7 linked regions of the Canis lupus familiaris genome follow. The protein of the gene in region 1 interacts with the protein of each later gene in a pairwise test. Links are inferred from orthologs where the notes say so. Each region holds a gene or a part of one and is shown in the gene's direction. Other genes may lie near its edges.

Region 1 (4,092 bases):
TAATTTAGAAAGAAGTTCTTTTTTCTCTCACCCACTTTAGTTCACCAACTTTATCATCAAATGATGCAGTAAAAGGCCTATTGTCTTTATGACTGGGATTCTTTATCCTGACCTCTACTTGTTGGGAACCCTTATCTGTACATACCTTATGCCTCTCCTAAACTTAGAGAAAGGTATGAGAAAACATTTGGGAACAGATTATTTTAGTTTTGACACATTACTCTGACCTCTTTTGAAGTCATTTTCTGACTCTAACCCTCCGACTCAGACCCTTATTTATTTTTAAGGACCCTTGCGATTACATTGGGCCCACCCAAATAATTCTGGATAATCTCCCCATCTCAAGACCCTTAATTTAATCACACATGCCAAGTCTCTTTCAACATGTAAAGTAACATACTACTGGTTCCTGAAATTTGGATGTGGACATCTCTCTGGTGGCACTATTCTGCATACCACAGCCGGTGTCATTATGCCCAGCCAGTCCCAAGAGCAGCAACTCTGATGGAGGAGCCTACCTCGGAAAAGTGTGAGAACATGTTCTCTAGAAACAGAAAGGAAAGGGCACCGATGTAAGGTAAGAGAAAGAGGCCGTTTTACAGTGAATCAAGAGAAGGTTCTTTTTCTGACAAGGATTAAGGAACAAGTTGAAGACATAAAAAGGGTGGACAAATTTGGGAAAGCAGCTGGTGGAAAAGCCTCCAACTTAGGAAGAAAAAGCGACTGCCTCCCCAAGGGCTTATCTGAGACGTGAAGGTGGTGACATGCTTCAGACGTGGGATCTGAGGCCAGTTAGGCCAATTACCGTGTCCATGAAGATGCCACTAAGCCCAGTGCCAAGAGAGCCACCTCCATTCGTATTTCGAGTTTTACAACAAACCAATAACATCAGAATTAGAGGAGTTTTCCCACCACCTCCCTATTGTTAAGCCACTGGGTTTTCCCCCCATGATTCCTATAAGAAACCTGACACTAATTGGACTAGCATAAGAAGGGGAAAAAAATGAATCACAGATTGCACTGGAAATAAACTAAGGAATAAGAAAATATGACCTCTGCCCAAAAGAACAACGATGAAAAATTGCACCGAGGGGCTATATATAGTGAGCATTTAGATTTTTAAAAGGACAAAACATGGAGTCTGATAAGATCTACCAGCTGTTTCTCTTTCCTCAGACCTTTGCCTAGAAGACAGCTACTGAAACTTGGGTGTACCTCTCTCTTGCTGTGTCATACACGGTTCCTTTCCTTCCCCACCCCCTCCCTGCTCTCCTGCCGCCCTGGCGCCTGTGTGTGTGTGTGTGTGTGTGTGTGTGTGTGTGTGTGTGTGTGTGGTTTCTCTCTCTCCCTTGTAAGAACACAGCTGCCTGTCCCCTGCTGTCACCGCTCCTCTGACTAGCTTCTTGCTGCCTCTTGCCTCTCCTTTCTGCTTAGCTCCCTGTCTTCTGGTAAGTGCGACAATCGCTCCCCGAACCCCGTGAGAAGCTGTAGGGTGCGGTTTGTGGTGTTCGAAACTTGCAACTTTGAGATTGCCAGTGAACTCTGAAGAACTTTCCATTGTTTTATTTATAATTGAAATGTGTTGCTCAGGAAGGGATGTGTGTGATAATTTGCTGGACTACCCAGTACAAGTGAAAAATTCTGAGGAGAGAAAAAAGGCAATAAAGTTTATTAAGAAGATAAAATTTAGAAATAATTTCTTGCTGTCAATTAATTAATATGGAAAGGAATCATTTAAAGTAGCAGAGTTCTCTGACTTTAATTTTCTCCCTCTTGGTGATTTATCTTGAGGCTACTTTTAGGAATTGAGTTGTCTTGTGGTTTACAATGACTCAGTTATTCTGTATTAAAGTAAATGTGGGCAATGAGTTTAAAGGATATCCATGGAATTAATATTAAAAACATCAAGGACTGTGGCCTCTGAGGAATGAAGAATAAATCAAATACAAGTCAACTTTTGCATTTAGACTAACCATACTAAAACTCTTGTGAGCAGTCAGTGTTAAATTCATTGCTTTGAAGTTGGGGTTTACTTTAGATTTTATTTCATACTAAGAAGACTCCCTAACACTTTAAAACCCACATATGTATTTAAGCCAGTAAATGTTTACTGCTTTTAGTTTTGATTTTAAAAGGATTCTCTTCCCTTAATTTTCAAAGAAGTGCTAAATGCCATGGCTCCTTTTAGAAGAGCTTAAAATAACTTCTGGCTGGACAGCAGGTGCCATGTATCTTTCTCAGAGTTTAGGGGAGGCGTAAGTTATATATAGACGAGTGTGCCCAACAAGTTGGGGTCAGGATAAAGAAATACCAGTGGTGAAAACAATGAGGCTGTTTACTGCATCTTTTGATGATAAAGCTGGTGAATTAAAGTAGGTAGGAGAAAAAAGTACTTCCTTCCAAGTTAATGAGCACTTGATGAAGGCCGTAAGTGGGTGGCAATGGCTGTAGGCTGGATTTTCCGTTCTTGTTGGGGTTCAAGCACTTGAGATCCCCTGCCCTGAGAATGAGAGGAGGAAGCTGTGCAGTGCATGGAACAGTATGTTTTTGGTTTTCTTCTCGAGCTACCACAACAGCAAAACCTGTGCATTATGAGAAACTTGTCATATTTTTGTGTCGTTCATTAGCAGCATCCCCATTAAATACCATTAACAAATAAAAGGCACCATAACTCCAAGGTCAACTCTATTGCAACCCTAGAAATGAAGATGGCCAGAATTCCTAAAATTCTTTGACTCACCTTGTACTTCAGCCCCTCTTTCCAAAGAGCCCACATTATATGTGGATTATTTCCCAAGTTTATCCCCTCCCTATTCATTAAACAGTGCTATTTCTTAAAAATTAAATTATGAAGTTAGCCTAGAGCTTCTTGACTGAGAAAAAAAAAGAGTTGTAATCTGTGTTTTTTTTTTTTTCTTAAAGAAAGTCAGTTTTTATATTGGAACACGAAAATATTAATAAAATTCAAGAAATTATTATTATGACCATCACCATGGTTCCATACTAGCTTTTGGTTAATTTGTACCTTCCTTCATTCTTCATTTTATCCAAAAATGGAGCTAGTTTGAACCTCAGAAAACGTGTTTTGCTGATAGATGATTAAGTGTTGCTCATTTGAGGAAAGGAAAACACCAGAAAAGCAACAAAGTATTTCCTGTATGTAGTATTCATTTATTTATTTATTTATTTATTTATTATTCATTTTTATCAATGTATTCATATTTATCAAGTCTTCACTTATGGATTAAAATAGACTAGGATTGGAGGGATCCCTGGGTGGCACAGCAGTTTGGCGCCTGCCTTTGGCCCAGGGCGCGATCCTGGAGACCCGGGATCAAATCCCACGTCGGGCTCCTGGTGCATGGAGCCTGCTTCTCCCTCTGCCTGTGTCTCTGCCTCTCTCTCTCTCTCTCTGTAACTATCATAAATAAATAAAAATTAAAAAAATAGACTAGGATTAGGACTGCTGTTGTTATGAATGATTTTAGTAAGTTCAGTGGCTCTTATATTAAATGTTTTAACTTTGAAAAAAATAACAGCATTTTAAACATTTTAAATACAGCCATCCATCCATGTACTTCCAATGACTGTAAGTCTACATAGAATAAAGTAAGAGAGCGATAACCAAATTGGCTTAAGCAATATGACAAATATAACATGAAAAACAATATCTTGAATTACTCCATTAATGTCAATCATAGAAATTTCTACTGGAATTTAAAGACCAAAACCAAAAATATGTTCACAGTATGACTTGCTTTGGAAAAATGGCTTCCCACTGTTTTTACATAACTAATTGCAATATCAATGGTTTGCAAAAGTACATTCATTCTATGTTAGAAGCCATAATTAATAGGTGCCCTTTGGGGGATATCCTTACATTTTATGTGTAACTTGGTTAACTATATAAAACCTGACTATGCTTATCACTAGATACATCTCCCAGTATGGAGATGAATCATTCTGTGCAGCTCTCAGGGGAACCCCAGTCAACACCTCCAGGAGACAGTTCATCATTACCCAGTCAAAATGGCTTGGAGAAGCAAGATGATAAGGATTCCTCAACCTCACTCCAAGCACCAGAAGGGATAG
Region 2 (4,070 bases), on another chromosome or scaffold:
CCCGCTGCGCTCAGTACCGTGTGGCCGCAGCACTGTCTCCCGGGCTGGGTGCCCCGACGTCCCGGGGATGCACCTGCCGCCCGACCGCTACCTGGGGGCCAGGGCAGCTGTGGGTGCTTCTGGGAGGAGCAGTAAGAAACGCTGGGTTCTTGAAATGAGCCAGATGTTTTCATTTTCAAAGGAAAAGATCACACTTAGGGAAGTATGTATGTATTTGCGAGCTTCCCAACAGAAAGCTGCAAGAGAACCTTCCCGGGCCGCGGAAGCCAAGGGGACAGCGCGGCCTTCCCCGCCTGGGGCTCGCAGGTGGCGCAGGAGGCTCAGGCCCGGGCTCGGGGCCCGGCGGCTGCACCTGTCGGCTACGCACCTGCAGGCGAGGGTCAGCGCCCCGGGACCTGCTGCCCCGCGGACGCGCCTCCCCCGGGCCTTCCTGCCTTCCTGCCCACCTTCCCAACAATACGTCCAGTAACACGCGCACAGGAAGGAGTGATTTTTCCTTAGAATGGGTGCCCGTGCACCCTTCAGGAATACTTTTTGGACACACTCAAAATGAAAACAAAACGGCCGCCTCTTGCACAAGAAGCCACGGCCCCTGGGGTCCCTGCCTCTCACTGGTGCCAAGGCTCGGCCTGGCGCCCCTCGGACCTGCTGCGGCCCAGCCTCCCCGGCCGCGCCCTCCTGGGACCTGGGACTCCGCGTCCTTACAGGATCCTATTTGTTCACGGAGATTTGTTCACGGAGACCCGGAGACCTGTGGGGGGAGGGGGGGACGGAGGGGGGCCCGGGGGAGGGGGAGGCCCGGGGGAGGGGGACGGGGGCCGCGGGGAGGCGCTGCAGGCTCCGGGCCGCCCCCGGGGGTCCCGCCGACGCCCCCGCGCAGCCCCCGCCCGCAGCGCCCCGGTCCCCGGCCGCCGCCCGTCCGCGGGGAGCCCCGAGGCCGCGGGAAGCGAAAGTGAAAGTCCTGCGGGAGGCGCGCCCCGGGGAGCGAGCGGGCAGCCGGCCTGAGCGTCCGCCTCGGGGTTCCCGCCGCCTCCGGGCCCCGCCGCTCGCCCCGACGGACGCCGCCTGCGCCCGAGGTGGGTGCGCCCTGGGCTGGGGGTGCGGGGGCGGGGCGGGGCGGGGGGCGCCCTGCGGGGCGGCCCGGCTCCCGGGGAGGCCGCGGGGGAGGCGCGTCGGGGCGGGGGCAGCGGCCGGGTCCCCGGGCGGCCCGAGGCGGCCGCGTGCGCAGGCGCCCCCCTCCCCTCCCCTCCCCTCCCCTCCCGTCCCCGCCCCCGCCCCTCCTGAACCCGGAAAGGCCCGAGTCGCCTCCCGGCCGCGCAGGGGGCCCGGACTCCGACCCCTGGGGCCTCGCGCGCCGGGGCAGCTGCGGGGGCGGCTGCGGGGGCTACGGCCACGCCTTCCTCCTGCACCACCTGCGACTGGGAGCTCCGTCCGGTCCCCGCGGCCCGCGGCACAGACGCCCTGGGGGCAGGCGGGTGACACTGCTGGGGGCTGCCGAGGTGACGGGGGCGCTGCCGGGGGGGGAGGGGCTGCCGGGGTGACGGGGGCGCTGCCGGGGGGGGGGGGAGGGGCTGCCGGGGTGACGGGGGCGCTGCCGGGGGGGGGGGGCTGCTGAGGTGACGGGGGCGCTGCCGGGGGGGGAGGGGGCTGCCGGGGTGACGGGGGCGCTGCCGGGGGGGGGGCTGCTGAGGTGACGGGGGCGCTGCTGGGGGAGGGGCTGCCGGGGGTGACGGGGGCGCTGCCGGGGGGGGGGGCTGCTGAGGTGACGGGGGCGCTGCCGGGGGAGGGGCTGCCGGGGTGACGGGGGCGCTGCCGGGGAGGGGCTGCCGGGGTGACGGGGGCGCTGCCGGGGGGGGGGGCTGCTGAGGTGACGGGGGCGCTGCCGGGGGAGGGGCTGCCGGGGTGACGGGGGCGCTGCTGGGGGAGGGGGCTGCCGGGGGGTGACGGGGGCGCTGCCGGGGGGGGGGCTTGCTGAGGTGACGGGGGCGCTGCCGGGGGGGGAGGGGCTGCCGGGGTGACGGGGGCGCTGCCGGGGGGGGGGCTGCTGAGGTGACGGGGGCGCTGCCGGGGGGAGGGGCTGCCGGGGTGACGGGGGGCGCTGCGGGGGGGGGAGGGGCTGCCGGGGTGACGGGGGGGCGCTGCCGGGGGGGGGGCTGCTGGGGTGACGGGGGCGCTGCTGGGGGAGGGGCTGCCGGGGTGACGGGGGCGCTGCCGGGGGAGGGGCTGCCGGGGTGAACGGGGGCGCTGCCGGGGGGAGTGGCTGCTGAGGGTGACGGGGGCGCTGCTGGGGGAGGGGCTGCCGGGGTGACGGGGGGCGCTGCCGGGGGAGGGGCTGCCGGGGTGACGGGGGCGCTGCCGGGGGGGGGGAGGGGCTGCCGGGGTGACGGGGGCGCTGCCGGGGGGGGAGGGGCTGCTGAGGTGACGGGGGCGCTGCCGGGGGAGGGGCTGCCGGGGTGACGGGGGCGCTGCCGGGGGAGGGGCTGCCGGGGTGACGGGGGCGCTGCCGGGGGGGGAGGGCGCTGAGGTGACGGGGGCGCTGCCGGGGGAGGGCGCCGGGGTACGGGGGCGCTGCTGGGAGGGCTGCTGAGGTACGGGGGCGCTGCCGGGGGGGGAGGGGCTGCGGGGTGACGGGGCGCTGCCGGGGGGGGAGGGGCTGCTGAGGTGACGGGGGCGCTGCCGGGGGAGGGGCTGCGGGGTGACGGGGCGCTGGGCCGGGGGGGGCTGCGGGGTGACGGGGGCGCTGCGGGGGGGGGGGCTGCTGAGGTGGACGGGGCGCTGCCGGGGGGGGAGGGGCTGCGGGTGACGGGGGCGGCCGGGGGGGGCTGTGAGGTACGGGGGCGCTGCTGGGGGAGGGGCTGCCGGGTGACGGGGCCTGCCGGGGGGGGGCTGCTGAGGTGACGGGGGCGCTGCCGGGGAGGGGCTGCCGGGGTGACGGGGGCCTGCCGGGGAGGGGCTGCCGGGGTGACGGGGGGCGCTGCCGGGGGGGGGGCTGCTGAGGTGACGGGGGCGCTGCCGGGGAGGGCTCCGGGTGACGGGGGCGCTGCTGGGGGAGGGGCTGCCGGGTGACGGGGGCGCGGCCGGGGGGGGGGCTGCTGAGGTGACGGGGGCGCTGCCGGGGGGGAGGGTGCCGGGGTGACGGGGGCGCTGCGGGGGGGGGGCTGCTGAGGTACGGGGGGCGCTGCGGGGGAGGGGCTCCGGGGTGACGGGGGCGCGTGCCGGGGGGGAGGGCTGCCGGGGTGACGGGGGCGCTGCCGGGGGGGCGCTGAGGTACGGGGCGCTGCTGGGGGAGGGGCTGCCGGGGTGACGGGGCGCTGCCGGGGAGGGGCTGCCGGGGTGACGGGGGCGCTGCGGGGGGAGGGGCTGCTGAGGGTGACGGGGGCGCTGCGGGGAGGGGTGCCGGGGTGACGGGGCGCTGCCGGGGGAGGGGCTGCCGGGGTGACGGGGGCGCTGCCGGGGGGAGGGGCTGCTGAGGTGACGGGGGCGCTGCCGGGGGAGGGCTGCTAGGGCGGGCGCGGTGGGGAGGGGCTGCCGGGGTGACGGGGGCGCTGCCGGGGGAGGGGCTGCCGGGTGACGGGGGCGCTGCCGGGGGAGGGGCGCTGAGGTGACGGGGGCCTGCTGGGGGAGGGGCTGCCGGGGTGACGGGGGCGCTGCCGGGGAGGGGCTGCCGGGGTGACGGGGCGCTGCCGGGGGGGGGGGCTGCCGGGGTGCGGGGGCGCTGCCGGGGGGGGAGGGGCTGCTGAGTGACGGGGGCGCTGCCGGGGGGAGGGGCTGCCGGGTGACGGGGGCGCTGCGGGGAGGGGCTGCCGGTGACGGGGCGCTGCCGGGGGGGAGGGGCTGCCGGGGGTGACGGGGGCGCTGCCGGGGGAGGGGCTGCCGGGGTACGGGGCGCTGCGGGGGGGAGGGGCTGCTGAGGTGACGGGGGCGCTGCCGGGGGGAGGGCTGCCGGGTGACGGGGGCGCTGGCCGGGAGGGGCTGCCGGGGTGACGGGGGCGCTGCCGGGGGGAGGGGCTGCGGGGGTGACGGGGGCGCTGCGGGGGGGGGGGCTCCGGGGTGACGGGGGCGCTCCGGGG
Region 3 (4,182 bases), on another chromosome or scaffold:
TCACTGAATCTTCAGGGGCTGAAGAATGGAAACGATCAAGACCCCAAAGATTCAGATGCAGTGAAACGCCGGGACACCTGCACCCCGATGTTTCTAGCAGCAATGTCCACAATAGCCAGCCTGTGGAAGGAGCCTCGGTGTCCACGAAAGATGAATGGATCAAGAAGCTGTGGTTTATGTATACAATGGAATATTCCTCAGCCATTAGAGACGACAAATACCCACCATTTGCTTCGACGTGGATGGAACTGGAGGGTATTATGCTGAGTGAATAAGTCAATCGGAGAAGGACAATCATTTATTGTATGGTCTCATTCATTTGGGGAATATAAAAATTAGTGAAAGGGAATAAAGGGGAAAGGAGAAAAAATGAGTGGGAAACACCAGAAAGGGAGACAGAACATGAGAGACTCCTAACTCTGGGAAACGAACTAGGGGTGGTGGAAGGGGAGGAGGGCAGGGGGGTGGGGGGTGACTGGGTGACGGGCACTGAGGGGGGCACTTGGCAGGGTGAGCACTGGGTGTTATGCTATATGTTGGCAAATTGAACTCCAATAAATAAATTAAAAAAAAAAAAAAAAAAAGACCGGCAACGTCCGGGACACGGCCACTGTCCCGAGCACGTGCCACACTCGACAGAATGAGACACTACTACCTTCCCTAACGAACCTTCTCTTACGCACGTGACAGCCCGGGGCCTCCGGAGCAGGTGCTCCGTACAATGTTTCCAGCCACCCCCCGCCCCCCATCAGTCTACAAGACTTGGCTCCCGGGTCATCTCCCGCAGGAGGGCGGTTCCTAGACCCAGGCGGGGCGCGGTCCTCGTCCCTCCTGGGGTCCCTCAGTTCCCTGGACACAGCGAGTGGTCCCAACGCGGAGCTCGTCACACTTTCCCAGACCCGTGGTGTCATCCGGTTTCTGTGCTTTGCAGATCCGCAAGCCGGCGGTTAACGCGAACTAAGCGGGCCCGCCTTCCCCCGCGCTAGAAATGACCCTCGCGGGCCACCACCAGCCGTCCGCAAGCAGGGGGCCGCCCCGGTCCCCACTTCCGGCTGGAGATACCAAGTGTGGAAGCGGGGGAGGCCCGGAGCCGCCACGCGAGTGCCTTTCCACCCTCCAGGGCGAGCGGTGGGGACAGTGGTTGTGAAGATGAAGTGAAGACATCGGCCTCCACTGACGGGAGCGGGGAGAGGCGCCGCTGAGGAACCAACGCGTCCTCGTCCCTCCAAAACCGGGACTAGGGGCGCGGGAAAGCCTTACCCGCACCGGACTCAGCGCCGCACCCGCTTCCACCGGAACTTCCACCCCCCACCCCGCGCCTCTGAGGATCACGTGACCCGCGCGGTCCTGCGCTCCGATCCCCGGATGTGATGTGGGTGAGCCCATTTGCATGCGCGGAGGGGCGTCCTGGGAGGACGCTGCTCCGAGGAAGAAGCGAGGGGGCAGTGGGCGGAACGAACGTGCGGACGGCGGAGGCCGGACGTCGGGGTCGGCGGTGACGCGCGTGCGCGCCCCCGGCCGGAGGTAACGGCGGGAAGGCTCGGGGGCGCGCGCGCGTGCGCAGCGGCCCAGTAACCGCATGTGCGCCCGGTGGACGGGCGAGGGGCGGGCGTGTCCCGGTCCGGAGGCAGCCCTGGCTGCGGCGGCGCCGCGGGCTGCCCGGCCGTACGGCCCGGGGCTGGCGTCCGCCGCCGCCCGCTGGCCCCCGGGCCCGCCCTCGCCGGCCCGGCTCCGCTGCGGCGCCCCGCCCGTCGGCCTCGCCGCGTGTGCCCTGCGGAGCCGCGAAGGCGGACGTGGCCTTTGGCGGCGCGCCGTCCGGGCCAGCCAGGTGGTCAGCCCCTCCCCCGAGGCCGGGCCGGCGGGAGGGCGGCGGGGGGGGCGAGCTGCCGCCCAGGCCTCGTCTTCCGCGGCGGAGCCGGCTGCGGGCCGCTCTTCCTTTGCAGAGGAGGGACCCCCGGCACAGCCCTCCCGCCTAGGCTGCCAGATCTGGTTAGCTTCCCAGCGTTGTTGCGGCTTAGCCTTGGCGGCACTGGGGCCGATTCGCCTGGGGGCGGGGCGGGGGGCACGAGCAGTTTTTATTTTTATTTAAAAAAAAAATTTTTTTTAGCAGTTTTTAAAAAGTGAGTTAATAATGTTCGTCCAAGAGGTACGGAAATGCAGGAATCGTGAAGGACTGAAGAAGTTGGGAAACCCTGAGTTCACCGATCGTCTGACATCAGGGGCGCGAAAGAAATGATCCAGGGCTTAAAAGGGACAGTTCCTTAGGAGCACTTTATTTATTTATTTATTTATTTAAAAGATTTTATTTATTTATTCACGAGAGACAGGCAGGGACACAAGCAGCGGGAGAAGCAGGCTCCATGCAGGGAGCCCGAGGTGGGCCTCGATCCCGGGTCCCCAGGATCACGCCCTGGGTCAAAGGCAGGCGCTGAACCGATGAGCCACCCAGGCTGCCCCTTAGGGGCACTTTAAAAAAAAAAATTTTTTTTTTTTTAAGATTCTACTTATTTATTCATTCATGATAGACATAGAAAGGCAGAGACACAGGCAGAGGGAGAAGCAGGCTCCATGCAGGGAGCCCGACGTGGGGCTCGATCCCGGGTGTCCAGGATCAGGCCCTGGGCCACAGGCAGGCGCTGAACTGCTGAGCCACCCAGGGATCCCCCCTTAGGAGCACTTTAATCGTGAAGATACTTGAGGGCCCTAAGCCTAGGGCGCATACTGTCTTCCTTAACGTTCCTTACCAGCCTCAGAGTAAAAACGAGTCCAAGGTCATTGACTAGTCTTGATTTGTAGTTAGAGTAGCCTTATTTGCAGAGAGTAGTTTTCCTTGAGCCTTTCATCCGATTCCTTAAATAATTTCACACTTAATAAAGAAGTATTATAGTGTAGGTACACTACGGTAATACAGAAGTTCCCTAACTGCTTGCATTCCGTTTTATTTTATTTTATAGAGGCGAAGAGGAAGCCCTAGTAAGGACCATCAACTACATGTAACATCTACATATTCACATTTACACGTATTATAGCTGTAGCGTAATCATATAATAAGCTTCTGTATTTTCTTACTTGAAATACAGTACCGCCTTTAGTTTGTCATCAGCTTCTTGCCCCTCTGGCTACACCGTTCTCAGTGATCAGTATAGTAGAAGTGAAATTCTCTTGGGTTACAGACTCCTAAACATTTAGACATTCACACTGCCCTTCAGTGCATGTAGGTTCAGGTTTTAAAAATTATTTGTAATAAATGTGTATGTTAAGTGTACTGTGCCATATTCCTCGCATTAGAAGGTAGAAGATCTTTGCTTTGTCCTTCCTTTTCTCATTTAACGTTGCAGTGGTGGCCAGCTGTGACAAGATCAGTAAACCACTCTATCAGAGTTCCCTACTTAAAAAAAAAAGTCAACTTGATTTGAAATTCATCTGAAGCCAACATGAACAGGGATTGCAAGGATTTAATTTATTTTTATGTTAGGGTACCCGCAGCTAAATTTTTATGTTAGGGTACCCGCAGCTAAATTTGCTTTTTCAGCTTTACAAAACCATAGTCCTGTCATCACACTTACAAAAATTTATAAAAATTCCATGATGTCGATATTCAGTCTGGGTTTAGATTTCCCCAAGTGTCCCTTAAGTGACTTTTTACAATTAGCTCTTTTGAAGCAAAATCCCATAGAGATTCACATGTTGCATTGGTTGATACATCGATTAAATCTTTTTAAATAGAGCGGTTCCCTTGTGTCCCTTGTCCCCCTTAATATTCTAGATTTAGCTGATTGCATCTGCATGACATCCTTTTAACATGTACATCTTTTCCCTTTAAACCAGTAGTTAGATCTAGAATTGCACTGTCCACTATAGTAGCCACCAGCCAGCTGTAGCTATTAAATATTACCATGATATAAAACTAAAAATTCAGTTCCCTGGCTTCATTAGCCACATTTCAAGTGCCCAGTGGTCACAAGTGCCTGGTGGCTACCCTTTGAATGGTGCAGAAGTAAAATTTTTCAATAATTGCAGAAAGTTCTGTTGAATAGCACTGATCTAGAAGATCAGATTTAACTTTAATTTTGTGTGTGTGTGTGTGTGGGGGGGGGGTCAAGACGATTTTCCAGGTGGTACAGTAGACAATCTATTGCATTATCAGAGAGGTATGAAATGTCTGAGTTGTCTCTCTCTTAA
Region 4 (4,181 bases), on another chromosome or scaffold:
GGGTGACAAACAGGAGAGACACCTAACTCTGGGAAATGAACAAGGGGTCGTGGAAGGGGAGGTGGGCGGGGGTGGGGTGGGGTGACTGGGTGATGGGCGCTGAGGGGGGCACTTGGGATGAGCACTGGGTGTTATGATATATGTTGGCTAATTGAACTCCAATTAAAAAAAGAAAAAAAAATACCTGCACCTTAAAAAAAAAATCCTGGGTCTCTAACATCATGCCCCAGGCAGAAGGCGGAGCTAAACCCATAAGCCACTGGGGCATCTTGATCAAAAGAGGGATATGTGAAAATTATTGAAGGCAACCGTATTTAATATGGAGCAGGGAGCTCTAAAAGGAGAGCTCTCACACACCACCACTCTTAAACAGCCTTTGCAGCCCCCAACAGGAAGGAAGATTTCCTCCTGGCTCAGCAACAGCCCAGCCAATGAGAAACTGCCACAACCCAGACAATGAGAGGCCATCACAACCTTGATTCTCACTCTCCTCCAATAACTTTCCTTGAAAACCACCCATGGCAACTTCCTGTCTGCTAGGACAAAAAGAAAGCTTTTCGTTGTACTCTGTATTTGCTTACAGTTCGCCATAGTTCACGTGTCCTGAATTGCAGTTGGTCTCCTATTTCCAAATAAACTCATTTTGCTATTAAAATATTTAATATTCTTTTTTTTCCATTTAATATTTTAAATGTGATGTCTGCGTGCTACCCAGAAGAAAAGAATAGGGACGCAATCCGAACTCTGCTTCGTGCCACATCTCCTCGCCCTCCTCATCTAATCATCCTCATTTCCAGATCGTACTTCAGTGTGGCTCTCGGCACCATAGTGAGTGCTTTGGCACCGTTGGCTCCCTTCCAAGAGCAAGACACAGGCTACATTTTGAGACCCTTGTAGACGTGCAAGTTAGGCCTTTTCCACAGGATCTGTGGTTTCATTTAACACTGAACAGAAAGCCGTTGCTTAGAGCTGACCACCAAGTCTCCCTGAGGAGTGAGTGTAGGGGTGAGGAGGTGGGGCTGGTGGTGGTTGTGTGGCCGTGGAGGGCACTCAGAGGCAAAGGAAGAGAAAATAATTCACTCCGTGAGGGGTAGAGGCTGCACGCCTGGGGGCATGCTTCCAACCTGGGGACAAGTTGCTGTGCCACCTTCAAACAGGCATCAGGCCCTCCCTTAGAAGCCCACAGAGACCACAGAGTAGAGCCCACCTCTACTCTAAGAGGTGCAAAACGAGGTCTCACTGGAAGTGATTTCTGGTGGGTCACCGCATTTCCGCCCTTGCCTTGGTGGGAGGAGCCCATGAAGTCCCGCCCATCAGCTCTCAGCCTCTGAGTGGCTGGCACTAAGCGCACTGGGTCCTCATTGGCTGGATGATGGGCTGGGGCATGTTAAGGCCCTTCGCGTGGTAGCCTGAGCCAAAGCTCATGAAGGCACCTGACTAGACGTCCCGCGGTGCGGAGGAACCAGCGTGTGGTCTGAGGGGCTGCTGGGGTCAGAGTGCGGCTGGGTGGCAGAGACGTGGACAGAAGCAGGCTTGGTGCTGTGTTTGGGGGCCGCAGGCTGCCCTAGCAACGGGACCATGCTTCGGCTGATTTCCAGGGCTCTTGCCGTCTTCCGGAGGAAGATAGACTCGTCAGAGGCAGAGAGGGAGCAGCATATGAGGCTCTTGGAATTGGAAGGTATTTAATTTGTCTTCTCCCTCCCACGGGCCAGCACCTAGTTCAGAACTTCCGGGGCTCAGAAGGGCGCCACATAGCCATGCCAGCGCCTCCTTGTGGGGAGAGGGGTCCCTGAGTCCCTGAGCATGCCCGGAACCATCCTGCCCAAAGTGACGGTGGTGTAAACAGGGAAGGCCCCTGGGGAACTATGCACCACCCTTGCATTACCTCCCGGCCCCATGCCTTTGAAACTTACATTGTGTGTATGGTATGTACAACAGATTCCTTTTCATATTTCCAGTAGTAGTGGATCTCTCTGATTTGAGGGTGCATTTGATCTCGTTTCCCAAACATGCGTATATTTGAATCCAAGTGGTCAAGTCGCTGGTAGGAGGCTGGGGGCCACGGGTTAACTTGCTCACCTTTGTATCCTGACACAGTCCAGGGTCTGGCACTGAGGGGGAGACTCAGGAGGCCCGGGACAGGCATCAGGGTGTCGGTGAGTCCCCATGAAAACTGAGAGGGTGTGCTGAGGTGGATGGTGGTCCTGTTCTGAAGTGTTCCTCTCATGAGCCGAGCATTTGTCTGGACTAAGCCCTGGGCTCAAGGCTGGAAGACCCCCACAGGGAGCGGGGAGTATTGTCACGTTCACTTTACAGCCGGGTCAGGGAGACACAACCAGGGGAGAGCCGGCACCCGGCTGGTGTTACCCAGACCCGGAGGCCAAGCAGCCATTCCCTGCTGGGTGTGCCCCGGTCCCGCCTCTGGGGGGCCTCCTTCCCCAGAATGAGTGCAGGGCGGGCTCTGGGCCCGATTCTGGAAAGGGTCATCTCTGGTGGATGCAGTCCTCCCAGCAGGGCCCCAGCCTTCCTGGTGCCTGACTGGGCCTGCAGCTCCTCTGCCGGAGGAGTGTGAGCCCTGCAGAGTTGGCGGATTCTCGGCCCAGTGGGCCAAGGAGGGCTGCTGCCGAGCTTGAGCGGGAAGCGCTGCCGCTGCATCCCTTAGCCGGTAGCCATATTTTTGCCAATGGGACGATGCAGAAGAGTTTCTGATTTATTTTCATGAGCCTAGGTGGCAGTTGTCACCCTTGTACCTTCCATTTCCATATGTTTTGTGATTTCACTTGACAAATTTGACCCATTTTTAAAATAGTTTAGAAGAGGCTCCTATGGGGCTCTGTTGGGTTAAGCGTCTGCCTTTGGTTCGGGTCTTGGGTCCAGGGATTGAGCACCACCTCGGGCTCCCTACTGGAGGGGGGAGTCTGCTTCTCCCTCTCCCTCTGCTCCACCCACCCCCTCTCTTGGGTGCTCTCTCTCAAATAAATAAAATCTTTATTTTTTAATTTTCTAAGCCCTCCTCAAATAAAATCCTTTAAAAAAAAGTTTTCAGGGGATGCCTGGGTGGCTCAGTGGTTGAGCATCTGCCTTTGGCCCAGGGCGTGATCCTGGAGACCCGGGATCAAGTCCCACATCGGGCTCCCTGCGTGGAGCCTGCTTCTCCCTCTGCCTGTGTCTCTGCCTCTCTGTGTGTCTCTCATGAATAAATAAATAAAATCTTTAAAAAAAAAGTTTTCAGGATCTTCTTGGCTTCTGAAATCAAATTGTAAGCAATGTTTCTCCCAGCCTCACTTTGGCATGGCACCTAAGGCGTTGTGGTTCATAGTGGGCCCTGTGGGCTTATTCTCTAGGTTCAGATATCAAATTATGGCTTATTAGCTGTGTTTGTTCATGAAATAAATAAATAAGTAAACCTGAGTGTTTTGGATCCACATTTGGGCTAGATTTAAACCCCCAGATCTCTTTGTGTGCTTTGTTCGGTGAGATGTTTCAATAATCTCCAGGTGCTGCTGCTGCCGCTTTTGTTGATGATAAAATTCTATAACAATAATGGCTGTTTAAAGACTCTCTAGATGCAGAAACCATGACAACTAATGTGTAAGCTCTAACCTGTGGGAGGCATTCAATTTTAAGCAGTTGACATGTATGTGTCAGTTAATAACTGTAACAACCCTTTCTCCCCTGCTTTATTGAGACATAATTTGCATATAAGGTATGCATGACAACTTGTTACCTATATATTGTGAAATGATTGCACAATAAGATTCATTAACACATCCACACCTTATATAGTTACCCTGTGTGTGTGTGTGTGTGTGTGTGTGTGTGTGGAGAGCTTATAAGATCTACTCTCCTAGGCAGACATTAGTAATGCCCTGGTTTTCCAGATGGAAACAGATTCAGGGAGGTTAAGAAATGTGCCCAGGGTTACAGAGATGGTAAAGGGAGGAGCTGTGTTCACAGCTAGGCAGTCTGGTTCCAGACTCAGCACCTACTACAAGTCCCACTACCAAGGGCACTTGGCCACTGGGCCTCGCAGAGAAATGGTGGGATCAGCCTTTCAGCATGAGCACTCTGCTTCCCAAACAATCCCTATGCTCCTCAGTCATTATCATCTGTGTCTCAGAGCAAGCCCAATTTGTTTCTAGACTTAGATCATCGTCTCCCATATCTTCCCACGGTAGGGC
Region 5 (4,203 bases), on another chromosome or scaffold:
GTTGGCAAGAAAGAACTGTCAATAGCCACTAAGAATAAAAGGTGATACAGATTACAGAACTGCCACTTGCATTTCATAATGAGTTATAATTCTCATCCCAGAACAATTTTGAAAGAATTTGCGGCAAATTCTAAGAGTGGAGCCAGATCAGCAGCTTACACCATTCTAAGAAAAAGTGAATACGATTTAGTTTTTTGTACTTTTCTGATTTCCTTCAACAATAAGCAGTTTCAAAGTAACCCATCTGGAAGTTCCTAACAATGAAAACACAATACGAAAATGACGGGTCTTTCACTGCTCAGCAAAAATTTTCTGGAAGAATGAGCTAAAAAAAAAAAAAAGTCCTTGAATGATCTTTATTAACGAAAGTATAAAAATTTGAAACATGTTTAGTGCGCAGTAAGTTTCCTTCTCTTCCTTTGGTCATCTCTAACCTCCATTACTGAGCAGGTGGAGTTAATTAAAGGCGCCTGGGTGGCTCAGTCCATTACGGGTTTTGCCTTCCGCTCAGGTCATGATCCCAGCCGGGGTCCTGGGATCCAGACCCGCGACTTGGGGGCCTCTGCTCAGCAGAGCGCCTGATTCTCCCTCGCCCTCTGCCTGCCGCCTCCCCTGCTTGTGCTCGCGCTCTGTCAAATAAAGAAATAAAAAACATATATTTTTAAAAAGGTAGTAATACTAACACTGAAAAGCACACGATGCTTAGTATGTGTCAAACATCAACTCATTTAATTCTCACAACACTATCAAGTAGCAGTGCTAAGATCTCCGTGTAACAGATGAAAGAGGTTAGGTAACTTGCCCAAAGTGGCGGACAAAGACACCCCCGAAGCCACAGTGCATCAAACACCCATCCGATCCATCACCCCTGAGAATTCAAACTGCTTTTACCTGGAGAATCTGACGGTGCCGCCAAGTGGAGCTCCCGGCTCGTGGCTTATAAGCCACACTGCCCGCTGGGCCATGATAAGCCCCTAAAGCATCAACTCCTCTCCAAGGTGGCCACGGAGGAAAGGCGCAGGCCGGCTTTCTCAGACGGGCGCCTACCGGAAGATCCTAGGCTCACCCAAGCTGTGCCACCTTCTGGCCCGCCACAGACAGGCGGGGCTCAGCAGAGACGCAGGCTCGTTCAGGTGAAGTGACTCAAACCTCCGAGGCCCTCCTGTCAACACATGCCACAAAAGTCCTGTGAATCCTCACCCAGAATCTCCAGAGGCATTCCTCCTCAGCAACTCCGGTCCTTTCTTCCTCTAAGGCCCACTTCCGGGACGGTGGCCCGCAAGGGTCAGGGTTCCTCGCCCGCCCCCGCCACCAGTCTCTCTGCAGTTCGCCGGCTGCTGGATTCCCTCCTCGGCCCCTCCCGACAGCCAACAGGGCGCGCAGCTCCACTTCCGGCGTACGAGGCGGTGACAATGGGAGCGGCGCGGGCGGCGCCGGGAGGCAGCTGACAGGCGTCTGCGGCTTCGCTTCATGGCCGCCCTCCCGCCCCGCCTGGGCTCTGTGGGGAGTCGGGGAGCCCGCGGCGGCCCGGAGCCAGGGCTGACGAGCCGAGCGGGGACCTGTGCGCGGCGCCGCTGAGGCGCAGCATGTGAAGAGGAGACGGCTTCCAGCGCGAGGCGAGCTTCTCAGCCGGCCGGGATGGCTACGACGGCCGAGCTCTTCGAGGTGAGACCCTGCGGCTCTTCGGGGAGTGGCAGGCCCCGGGCGCGGGCAGCGAGGTGGGCGGGCGGAGGAGCGGCCGCGGCCCGGGGAGGAAAGGTGCGGCGGGCGGGGGGTGGGGTGGCGGCTCCGGTGGCGGCTCCGGTGGCGGCGCGGGCGGAGCGTGAAGTGGGGGAGGGGCGGCGGGGGGCACTCGGGTGGGGAGGTGGGCAGGGCGCCGAGGCTGGAGTCCGCGGGGAGGAGGGGGGCCTCGGAGGTTCAGGGGTTGGAAGGTGGACTCAGAATGAGAGAAGTGGGAAGGGCTGACTCAGGGCGCGGAGCGAGGAGCCGGCAGCCCCAGGTGGGGCGAGCCCCGGTCTCGTCGCTTGGATCTTCGCGCAATATTCTGAGGGGGCCACCTGAGACTGGGACGACTATTGAGTAATTAAAATCATTTTCTTGCTAAACGTGACAAGTGGCACTCAGGTGCCTGCCAGTTTCCCCTTACATTCAAATAAGCTGAAGTGTTTTGTTTTTTTTTTTTAGGACAATAAAGGCCTACTTCAGTCTTCAGACTGAAGGGGGAGGTGAAACTGGTTAATTAACATTTTTGTTCGGGTCTCCGGGAATTTAAATGCATTTTAAGACCCACGTCACTGCAAGCTATAAAGAATCCTTAGCGCCTGAGACAATGAGCATTCTAATGTGTTTTCCTTGAGCGTTTTTCACTCTCTCCAACTTAAAATTTAACTTAGCGAAATTCCATGTAAGACGAAGCTGTGGCGATTGAGATAAATAGAACAGGAAAATTCTGCTTGGACCACCAGACAATGAAATATGAAGGGTCTCTTTTTGTGAAAGAAATGAAAACAGAAACGTGAAGAAAAAGAAAGCAAAGGCCCTTTTTGTGTGTGCTTTTGTGTTTCAAATTGAGTAACAAAAAGGCTAAGTAATAATTGAGAAGAGTACGGTTGACAACTGAGAATTTCTCCACAAGTGAAAATTGGATTCTTTTTCTGCTTAAGAGTCAGCAGGTTTTTTGGCTTAAAATTTGAATGTCACGGTTTTTGCAACAATTGGGAACTTTTCATTTGTTACTTAGATTTTGGGTTCCTGTCAGTTCTTGGGTAGATAATGCTTTTTTGGGGAGGAATTTCATATACTATTGCTATAACAACTAATACATAATAATTTTTAAGTGAAGGATTATAATTACAAGAAAGAATTCGGAAATATTAATTGTATGTTCTCAGGTATGTTGGAGGTGTATTGTATTAGCTTGCCTAATTCCAAAATTGTGCCATCTGTTTATTGATTGATGCAGGAGCAGGGAGACATTCTTTTGTTAAAAGCTGTGACTGTGTGTTCCTGAGCAAGATACTAAGTAGTTCTATAGTTCCTTGTTTTATCTTTCACATCTTATAAAGGTAGAAACCGGTTTATGAAGTTGCAATCTTTAATTTACTAAATGAAATGTGTGGCCAGCTATTAATAGAAAACTATCATTTTCTTATATGGTTCCCAAGGCATTAACTTGTGACTTAATAAATCCTGCTTGACATTCCCCTTGTGTCTCCAAGCATATTATGTCTTTTTTTCTTTAATGTTTGGCCACGAGTCACCTAATTTAATTGAAAATATATATGATTTCTGCTCTCCTTACCCCTAGGATAAAAAGGAAGAGATAGAAAAATGCAAACAAATATATTTCTTGAGAAATATATATATACACACACACACACATATATATATTTGCTTTCTAGTGTTACACTATTTAGTGAAGTAGGTGAACCATATTAGGGTTTAACCTGAGTGACTCGTTATGTATAGCTGGAAATACTCACTTAACTGATCAGTGATGGCATAGGCATACTAGTCCTGTGGCCAAAGGGTTCATAGGGTAGCCTTAAACATGCTTATAGATCCTAATTCATGTGACCTTTTTTGTAGCTTCATCAAAATTAAAAGCATATTACAATAAAAGTTACAATTAAATGTAAATAGTTACAATTAAGAAATGTAATTATCTTTTCAGCCTACAGGACTATTCTTGGATAAGTTTTCATCCCTAAGTGAAAAGTTGGGTCTCTTTGCTTTAGAGTGAGGAGGAAAACAAAAAACATAACTTCATTCAGTCATCGCTGCCATTTCCTGTTGCTACTACCATAGGATCCAGATTGTAGGACATGTCAGGAAGTGTCTTTTTCTCTTCCCTTTTTTAGTCACAGCTGGAGAACTGTAGGAAACAGAGGTCAGGATGTACTCAGGATATTTTGTGTTTATACATCCTGATTTTAATGCACTGCTGAGTTGAATTCTGCTTTCATTTCCACATGGAAGAAGAGGTTAAATTAATACAAAATTATGCTTTGAGTCCATGAAGTTTCATAACTGTTAAATCTATTTCTTTAAAAATCTTATTGTTGAATCTATGAGACTTCCTTTTATAATGTAAACACACTCATACAACAAAATCAAACTCCAAGATATTTCTTCATTTGGCAGAAATGATTTAATAACAGATGATGCAGTTATTTTAATCGTATATATCCCGGAGATTGACCA
Region 6 (4,179 bases), on another chromosome or scaffold:
GTCCCCACGAGCACTTGGTCACTTTTAAAACGAGGCACGTGAGAAGAAGAAAACCGGGGACATCGAGTCGCCGTGAAAACACAGCGGCCTCGGTGACATCTGGAACCACGAAGCGTCTTTTTGGACCGACGCGGGGCACAACTCACCCTTCTCTCCTACACGAAGGGGCAGGGCAGTCCTCTTGGCAGAGACACACGCACAAAAAAAGTTGGAAAGCTGAAACCCTGCAGCGCTGGCTTGGCCGGACAGGCCGCCTCGGGGAAGTGCGCTCCTCCGCCTCGCGGGGTCAGCGGATATCCTCACGTCGTGCAGCTGTCAAATCCCAGCTCTGCCCAGGAAGGCCGCTCGCAGTGGAAGGCGCCCCCAGCCATTCGGGGATTCTCGTCCGGGCGGCCACCGAGCTCCCGGGAGCATTCCCACCCCGCCCCTCCTCCGGCGCCAGGCCCTGCCCTCCGCAGCTCCGCCCTCCGCCTCGGCGGCCGGCCGGCAGCTGCCGGGGAAGCCTCGCCAAGCCCTCCTTGCTCGCCGGCCGCCGGGGTCGGAGACCCGGGCGCTCCTTGGAGGGGGGAGGGTGCGGGGTGCAGGGTGCAGGGTGCAGGGCGGGGCAGCCTCTGCAGCCGCTGCCTCGGTTGCAGCGTTGGAGGAAAGCGGCCCCGGCCCCGGCGACGCCGGAACCCCGGGCAGACGCCACTTCTTTTCCTCTACCTGCGTCCTCGCCCACCGCCCGCTAAGCCGGACCCGCGCAGGGCCGGGCCGCCGAGCTGGCGCACAAGCGAGGCCCCAGGCGCAGAGCCCGCCCCTTCGCCCAGCCCCATCGGTGGGGCTCGGCCCAGAGGGCGGGAGGAGGGAGGGGAGATGGGGGTCCTCACCCCCCTGCAGCCCCTCCCCTTTCTCCGCCCGGCATAAACCAGGAGCCGCCCCTGCCCCAGCGCCCTCTTCCCCGCCCAAGCAGACGCGACCCGCGGAGGCAAAGCCATTGGAAAGAGCCCCGCCCTCCGACGGGCTACCTCCGGACCCCAAGTCCGCGCCCGGCCGCCAACTGCAACCGGCTGCTACGCATGCGTGATGGCGAACAGAGCGCATGCGCCGAACGGACTTTTTTTTTTTTTTTTTTTTTTTGCGTCGGGGGCGTTTCCGTCCCGTGACGTACGGATTCTCCCGGCTCGGAGCCGGGGAAAGAAAAGTTAAGAAGTACAAGTACAATGAAGCTATTACGGAGAGAGGCCGAGCACGGCCAAGAGGGCTTAGACACACACCTGGAGGAAACCGCATCCTCACTTAAGATCAGCTTGGAAAGAGTGACGGTGTCTTTATTACGCCAAATCCGAGATTGAAGAAGGCAGGGGTGGGGGTGGGATGGGGGGGGAGGGGGCGTCGTCGCATTGGCTTCTGGGAAGTGTAGTTTTGATGTACCGGCGCGTTCTGCGGGCGATAGAAACTACAGTCCCCAGGAGCCCCTGCGACGTTGCCCGTGGCGGCCTTCGAGCCAACGGTTAGCGCGGACGGAGCTTGGTAAGCGTCGATTTGGGGAGCGCTGGGGGGTTTCGGCTGCCAATTGAGGCTTTTTTTTTTTTTTTCCTTCGTTTCCTCAGGGATTTTGGAGATCGAGGCATCTAGAAGATGGCCTCTTAAGTCCAGGGGGTTTTGTCCGGTGTGTCTGGGAAGGAGTAGCGCGGGCGCCCCGGGCGGAGGGCGCGTTGGGGCGCGAGGAAGGGATGCGGCGGGAACGGCTGCCCCGCGCGCGGCCTCCGCTCGCACCTCTGCCGGGGGGACCCGCGAGGGCGGCCTTAGGTGACCCCGTGCGCTGGCCCTGGCGTCCGCCTTTGCGCGGGGGATGTTGTGTGTTTTCTGCGCCCAAAGGAGATCCCGAGCAGAAGCCAGTTGTCAGATTCATTTTGCACGAGAGACTAAGGGGAAAAGAAGAAACCCCAGCATCCCTGGATGGGAACGTTTGCAGCCTTCCCCCCCCCCCCCCCTTAGGTGATGCTATTTAAAAAAAAAAAAAATCTCCCAAGATTTAGTATGTTTGTTTGTTTTTTTTAAGATTTTATTTACTTAATCATGAGAGACAGACAGAGAAGCAGGCTCCATGCAGGGAGCCGGATGCGGGACTCGATCCTGGGTCTCCAGGGTCACGCCCTGGGCTGCAGGCAGCGCTAAACCACTGAGCCACCCGGGCTGCCCGATTTTATTTTTTATTTATTTTATTTTATTTTATTTTATTTTATTTTATTTTATTTTTATTTTAAATTATTTATTTATTTATTTTAATTTATTTTATTTTTTATTTTAAAGGATTCATTTGCATAAAAGGTTCATGTTTGTTTGTAAAAAAGTCGTACCTCTGGAGAAAAGTCAAGGTGTGAAGGGCCGTCCGGTTCGTCAATGAGATTTTAATTCTCCGCATGGTGGGATGGATGGCGTTTATTACACCAGTGGAGCCGTGGAGGGGCCGGGGCGGCTCAGTTCCCCGGGTGGGGAGTTCGAGCCCCGTGTTGGGTGTAGAGGCCACTTAAATAGAAACTAAAAAAAAAAAAAAATGATAATGATAATAGTAAAGTCAAATAAGTTATTTTAGATAACTTAGTTAAATTTTAAATTATAATGATAATAGTAAAGTCAAATAAGTTATTTTAAACAGCGTACTTAAGTTTTAAATTTAAATTCCGTTTTTGAATTTTAGAAATTTCTCCTTGTGAGGTGCTGAGTATGCAACAGGGGGAAAAGCCGCAGCCCCCTCTCCAGTGATGGCATCTGGTAGTAAAATACACAATTACAGTACACAGTATGGTAGCTGGCTATCTGGGACGTCTAGAAAGAGGGTCTCTTGGCTTAATCCTGGAAAGTCAGGGAAATTCTTCATCCCAGGGAAAGAAGACCGGAAGAAGCCTATGGTGAGGCTCAGAAGGGAGAGAGAGAGACAGTACTTTCAGGAAACTGCAATAAGCCAAAATCCCCTCTATTTTGGGAAGGGTAACTTCCTGTGTGTTGATCTACTTTGAAGCCGCAAAGAGACCAGCCCTGTGAATTTTCCGGATGGTTTCTGAGAGTGACCTGACCTTGGACAGATTTGACAGTTTAAATGAATTAGTCTGATTTGAAAAGGCCTTGCTACTTTTATGCTACTTGGTTTAAATCTGATTTAAAAAAAAAAAAATGTGAACTTGTGAGTATGATTTCAAAAAATTTAAAAAGACATTCCTTTTTTGTCCTTTTTTGGGGCTCCTCCTCCTTGTCCAATGCATAGCGTAGTTTCTTAAATCTAGATCCCCTTTTGCCTGCATAGTTGAGTCTGCTCCCATCCATACACATGGTTCCACTGCCACCTGTGACTTGTAGACGTATAGCTCCATCCAGCTGTACCCATGATCTACGTAAGCACAGCCTTTTCCAAACTGCCGTAATCTGTTGCCAAGACCATTGTCATAGTGATTGTTCACTCTGGCCTTTCTCCATTAGTTCTCCACACTGGAGCCATACTGAACTTTTTGAAATGCACGTCCTGGCCAGACTTCTCTTAAAATCATTCATTGCTGTCTCACTATTCTTAAGGCAAAACTTGTTTGTAAAAAGCCTAATAGCCTCTGGTCTCTTTCCACCACTGCAGCCTCACTTCGTGTATCTACCACTCTCCACCTCTCGCTACTTCAGCCATACAGATCTTTCTTTAGTCGCTGGTTTTCCTATTTCCACCTAATTTCAAATTTCCAACATATCTGTTGAGTGCTATGTAATGGGACAAGTACATATGTCATTGAGCACAATATACATTGACACTTGAACAACATGGATTTGAACTGCACAGGTCTGCTTACAAATGGATTGTTTTTTGATAAATACAGTACACTAGTGTAAATCTATCTTCCTTATGGCTTTTGTAATAGCATTTTCTTTTTTCTAGCTTACTTATTTTAAGAATACTGTATATAATATGTATACAGAGTATGTGTTGCTTATGTTATCTGCAAGGCTTCTAGTCAACAGTAGGCTTCTAGTAGTTAAGTTTGGGGGGAGTCAAAAGTTCTATGGATTAAAAGTTGTGGGATTTTTTTTTTTTACTTCCTGGTGGGGAGTTGGCACCTCTAACCCCCCACGTTGTTCGAAGGTCACCTGTACAAAAGTTCCTACTCTCATTGAGCTTACATTCTATTAGGGAGAGATCAACAATAAATATATAAT
Region 7 (4,241 bases), on another chromosome or scaffold:
GGGGAAATACAGAGTATAAGTGAGATAAATCATATTGATTGTATTAGGAAGTTGGTAGACAATATTTAAAATTAAGAAATAGTAGTACTGTATAAGCGTATGTGGGGTTATGTGTATAAACACCAGGAAAAAAAAAGCTGAATGTTGTTGCCTCTGGGAGTGGGGCTAGAGGTGGGAAAGGAAAGAGCTGGTTAACTATCTTTGCATTGTAAATCCTTCTGTGACCATGCGCTGGAATTACTTGGATTAAACACCCAAATCAAGCCAAAACAAAAAAGTTTTTTGTGGTTCCCCATGGCCTATAAAATACAACCCAAGCACCATAGAACCATCTTCTATAGCCACATTACTCCAAGTGTGGTCCCTCGATCAGCAACATGGCCGTCACCTAGGAGCTTATTAGAAAAGAAGAACCGCAGGCCCCATCCCAGATCTACAGAATCACAATCTGCATTTTAACAAGGCTTGCAGAAAATTCAAATGCAGTCAAGCTTAAGAAGCATCAGTCTAAAAAAAAAAGGCATCAGTCTACAGGATCAAGCATGATCTGGCCGATCTGGACTTTTTTATCTTCAATACTAGTTGCTTCTCATTGGCCAGAAGTGTTATTTTCTACTTCTTTAATCTAAACTCAGTGGCAGGGCACCCAGCTGGCTTAGTCAGAAGAGCATGTAACTCTTGGTCTCTGGGTCTGCGTTCCAACTCTACATTGGGCATAGAGATTACATTTTTTTTTTAAGATTTTATTTATTTATTTATTTGAGAGAGGGAGAGAGATTTTATTTATTTATTTATTTGAGAGAGGGAGAGGGAGAAGCAGACTCCCTCCTGAGCAGGGAGCCTGATGCAGGGTTCCTTCCATCCCTGGACCCTGGGATCATGACCTGAGCTGAAGGCAGACACTTAACCCACGGAGCTACCCAGGTGCCCTAGAGATTACTTTAGATTAAATGAATAAATAAACTTAAAAAAAATAAATTCCGTGGCTACACTGAAAGTGCATGTGGGTGTCAGTAGCTAGCTAGATTCTAACCACTGTTCTAGACCCAACCCTCCCAACCCTCCCACCCCACCCCAGGAAGCCTTTCAAAACCCTCTGCAGTTCTGGGTCACCACTGTTCCTTAAACTCCCCTATGGCTGAGGGTGCTTAGGCTTTGTTCAGCAAACACTTATCGAACGCCTGCTGTATGCCTGCTGTATGCCGGGCCGGATTCAGTCGGCAGAATGGGGAGAAGGCACTGAACTCTGCTAGCGCTCCTTCAAGTACAAATCCAAGTACATACAGATCGCCCAGCCCCACCCATTCCAGGGCCAGACGTGTGCGCGCAGCACTCGAACACACACACGCACAGGCACAGACACGCACGCACGCCGGCACAGTCTGCGCGGCTTTTCTGAGAGTTACGGTGCCCTCCGCCCGCCCCCGCGCGGCGCGGGCGGGGACCCACCCGTTCCGCTGGGCGCCGGCAGCCGGGAGTCGAGGACCCCCGCGACCCAGCCCCAGCCGGCCGGCCGGCCGGCCGCCCGGTCCTCTTCAGCCGTAGGCCCGCATGGAGGGGACTGCGGAGTCCCAGACGCCTGACCTGCGAGATGTGGAGGGCAAGGTGGGCAGGAAGACCCCCGAAGGGCTGCTCCGCGGGCTGCGAGGCGAAGGGGAGCCGGGAACCTCTGGCGCCCCGCTGCTCCCGGGGGCGCCTGGCGCGGGCCACGGCCTGGGGGACAAGATCATGGCGCTGAGGATGGAGCTGGTGAGTGTGGGCTGCGGGGGCCGGGGCCGGAGTCCCCAGCCGGGTTGGAAGGGACAGACTTATGCCCCCAGAGTTGGGCTGGAGAGGCGAGAGTTAAGACTCCTTACCTAACTCCTCGGGATCCCTCCCAGATCAATCCTTAAACCCCGGGGTTCATTAATTGCCCCTCCCAAAGGTGAGTGGGGCGTTGATGGGTCCTGAAGACTTGAGGTGGGAGGCACTGGCTCCTGGAAGTTTTTCCTACCAAATAATTGGGAGGGGAGAGGTGAGGCTGGGAAGCACTGAGAACCTAGCAGAGCCCAAATCTCTCCCCTCCCCACCCCACCCCTCCACCAGGGGCCATCTCTCCCCTGGCCTCCATTATGGGGCAACCAGTTTCTTCTTTTGGTGCAAACTGGGCCCAGAGTTTGCTCATCTGAGGCCTCAGTGTTCATGACAAGATTCAGCTTGGAAGAGATCTGGGTGAAAACTGCCTGGACTAGAGCCACAAAAAAAACATCCTCCCTTTCCCCAAACCCCCCTCCCCAACCCCCACTTAAAGTACTTGGAAGTTCCTAGAACCCCGGGCATCAGAGTAATAGCACCATCAGCATTGGCTTCATCGCCTCTGAGCCCCCCAGGTATACTGGATTTTTGTATCTCGTACCTTCTTGGGGAGAAGAGAAGGAAACAGGCACCCTCCCCCTCCTTTGTTGCTGCTAGTCTAGATTCAGAGCCAGAAGGGCATTTGGGGCTGCCCAGGCTCCCCAAGGCCCTGGTTCCAGTGAAGGGGGTAATTTACACCTGCCACCACTCTGCAGCCAGTTCTGGGGAACTGAAGAATTCTCTCTGGCTCAGAACCAGGAGGCCACAGTGAGTGTGTCAGCTAATAGGTCTTTCTGGAGCCCACCATCTGCCTAGCTGGGCTGTGAGAGAGCAGAGGAGGGCATGGGGGCTCTTAGGCTGAGACCGGAGCCTTCTGAGCAGAGCAATCAGGGAAGGCTCCTTGGGGGAAGGATTTAAATGCCAAGTGTGTGCTTGGCCCTGAAGGTTGGAGGTAAATACCAAATTCTTCAGAGCAGGCCTGTGACTGCCCACCTGAGGGAGGGGCTTGACTTTGCTTCATCGTATAAAGTGGTGCCAGGCATCATGCTGAGCACTTGACAAAATATTCTCTTACTCCTCACAGCAACCCTATTAGGCAAGTGATATTTTATAGATAAAGAAACTGAGGCACCGAGAGGTTAAGTAACTGCCCAAGGTCGTACAAAAAGTAAAAAGCAGAGCCAGCCTTTGAACTCAGACCATCTGCCTGCACTTTACATCTTTACCATTGAGATCTGCTTTGTGCCACTTTAAAGACTTTAAAGACGCTTTATGTCATTGAAGTGGGAAAAGCAGTCATCGTTCCCCCATCGCGTAGATGAGGCAGGCTTGCCGGTGTTAAGGGGCTCGCCTGGCCTCACACAGGGAACCAGTGGAGGAGCCCTGCCTCTTCTTTGGTTCTGATTCTTTTGCCTTTGATGGAGATTACCTGTCTGTAAACTTTAAAGGGGGTACATTTAACTTCTGATTAGGTCTCTGCATTCTCGACCTAGCCTGGCCTGGGACTCTAGGCTGCCCATGAAGGAGGGGGCCTGCTGGGGGCCAGAACAGGGAAAGGCTCCCTCCCTTATTCCTTTCTCCTTCCTTGGCCAAGATGTCATTGATGTCATTGTGTACTCAGCCCTGCCCACTGTGGGGGCTGGGCAGAGGGTTTCAGTGGCAGAACTGTTCCAAGCTCTCTGAACACAGTCCTTCCAACTGTCCCTCTCCCAGCAATCATGCAGGGAGTGGGCAGTCATGCTCCTAAGGCCAAGGTTATTCCTGCCTCTAGGCTCCTTTTCCTCTTGCTTCCCTCCCCCTCTCCCAGGTTCAGTGAACCAGCCAGACTCTGGGGTTGGTGGGAAGGGAAACAATGGCAACCTCCCCTACTTAATCCTCCTACTCAAACAACTGTTGCTGCGACAACCCACCCTCACAGGGCAACCTGAAAAAAAGCTTTAGGCAAGGAGGGGGATGTCCTGGGTTCAAGTCCTGACTCAGCTTCTGAATTATTTAGAGGTCTTTTTTTTTTTTTTTTTTTTAATTTATTTATGATAGTCACACACAGAGAGAGAGGCAGAGACACAGGCAGAGGGAGAAGCAGGCTCCATGCACCGGAGCCCGACGTGGGATTCAATCCCAGGTCTCCAGGATCGCGCCCTGGGCCAAAGGCAGGCACCAAACCGCTGCGCCACCCAGGGTTCCCCATTTTGAGGTCTTGAGTAGAGCCCTGACTTTCTGTTGATCTCAGTTTTCCTGATTCTTGGAGGATGAAGGGACAGGGGCTTGTGGGACCAGATAGTCCTAGTAACGTTAGTCTGAGAATCTCAATCCTTGGCCAGGGAGCTGAGCCTGGAATCTCCTGGCTTTACCCCAGGGCCTGATTTGGATTGAGCAAGGAGGAAGCCATACTCGTGACCCTGGGACTG

What was found.
Region 2: the proteins of TXLNB (region 1) and NMI interact in binary tests that used the Homo sapiens proteins (3 or more experiments, as listed by UniProt). The two-hybrid records come from large-scale screens. The link is inferred for Canis lupus familiaris from reciprocal best matches to the Homo sapiens genes TXLNB and NMI.
Region 3: the proteins of TXLNB (region 1) and CEP63 interact in binary tests that used the Homo sapiens proteins (3 or more experiments, as listed by UniProt). The two-hybrid records come from large-scale screens. The link is inferred for Canis lupus familiaris from reciprocal best matches to the Homo sapiens genes TXLNB and CEP63.
Region 4: the proteins of TXLNB (region 1) and CT55 interact in binary tests that used the Homo sapiens proteins (3 or more experiments, as listed by UniProt). The two-hybrid records come from large-scale screens. The link is inferred for Canis lupus familiaris from reciprocal best matches to the Homo sapiens genes TXLNB and CT55.
Region 5: the proteins of TXLNB (region 1) and EXOC5 interact in binary tests that used the Homo sapiens proteins (3 or more experiments, as listed by UniProt). The two-hybrid records come from large-scale screens. The link is inferred for Canis lupus familiaris from reciprocal best matches to the Homo sapiens genes TXLNB and EXOC5.
Region 6: the proteins of TXLNB (region 1) and CEP57L1 interact in binary tests that used the Homo sapiens proteins (3 or more experiments, as listed by UniProt). The two-hybrid records come from large-scale screens. The link is inferred for Canis lupus familiaris from reciprocal best matches to the Homo sapiens genes TXLNB and CEP57L1.
Region 7: the proteins of TXLNB (region 1) and LURAP1 interact in binary tests that used the Homo sapiens proteins (3 or more experiments, as listed by UniProt). The two-hybrid records come from large-scale screens. The link is inferred for Canis lupus familiaris from reciprocal best matches to the Homo sapiens genes TXLNB and LURAP1.

Annotation. Positions count from the first base shown.
Region 1 is NC_049222.1:31,692,715-31,696,806, reverse strand, and holds the start of TXLNB (beta-taxilin), read left to right. Parts: upstream 1-1,292; 5' UTR 1,293-1,448; intron 1,449-3,933; 5' UTR 3,934-3,947; coding exon 3,948-4,092. UniProt on the Homo sapiens protein: Promotes motor nerve regeneration. May be involved in intracellular vesicle traffic.
Region 2 is NC_049240.1:54,265,781-54,269,850, reverse strand, and holds the start of NMI (N-myc-interactor), read left to right. Parts: upstream 1-1,270; 5' UTR 1,271-1,499; intron 1,500-4,070. UniProt on the Homo sapiens protein: Acts as a signaling pathway regulator involved in innate immune system response.
Region 3 is NC_049244.1:31,766,936-31,771,117, forward strand, and holds the start of CEP63 (centrosomal protein of 63 kDa), read left to right. Parts: upstream 1-1,382; 5' UTR 1,383-1,390; coding exon 1,391-1,524; intron 1,525-1,753; exon of another isoform or gene 1,754-1,828; intron 1,829-1,862; exon of another isoform or gene 1,863-1,989; intron 1,990-4,182. UniProt on the Homo sapiens protein: Required for normal spindle assembly.
Region 4 is NC_049260.1:106,945,753-106,949,933, reverse strand, and holds the start of CT55 (cancer/testis antigen 55), read left to right. Parts: upstream 1-1,381; 5' UTR 1,382-1,578; coding exon 1,579-1,678; intron 1,679-4,181. UniProt on the Homo sapiens protein: Plays a role in spermatogenesis, possibly acting in the regulation of the autophagy pathway.
Region 5 is NC_049229.1:33,150,853-33,155,055, reverse strand, and holds the start of EXOC5 (exocyst complex component 5), read left to right. Parts: upstream 1-1,403; 5' UTR 1,404-1,638; coding exon 1,639-1,665; intron 1,666-4,203. UniProt on the Homo sapiens protein: Component of the exocyst complex involved in the docking of exocytic vesicles with fusion sites on the plasma membrane.
Region 6 is NC_049233.1:66,409,365-66,413,543, forward strand, and holds the start of CEP57L1 (centrosomal protein CEP57L1), read left to right. Parts: upstream 1-1,379; 5' UTR 1,380-1,512; intron 1,513-4,179. UniProt on the Homo sapiens protein: Centrosomal protein which may be required for microtubule attachment to centrosomes.
Region 7 is NC_049236.1:14,262,365-14,266,605, reverse strand, and holds the start of LURAP1 (leucine rich adaptor protein 1), read left to right. Parts: upstream 1-1,441; 5' UTR 1,442-1,551; coding exon 1,552-1,749; intron 1,750-4,241. UniProt on the Homo sapiens protein: Acts as an activator of the canonical NF-kappa-B pathway and drive the production of pro-inflammatory cytokines. Promotes the antigen (Ag)-presenting and priming function of dendritic cells via the canonical NF-kappa-B pathway.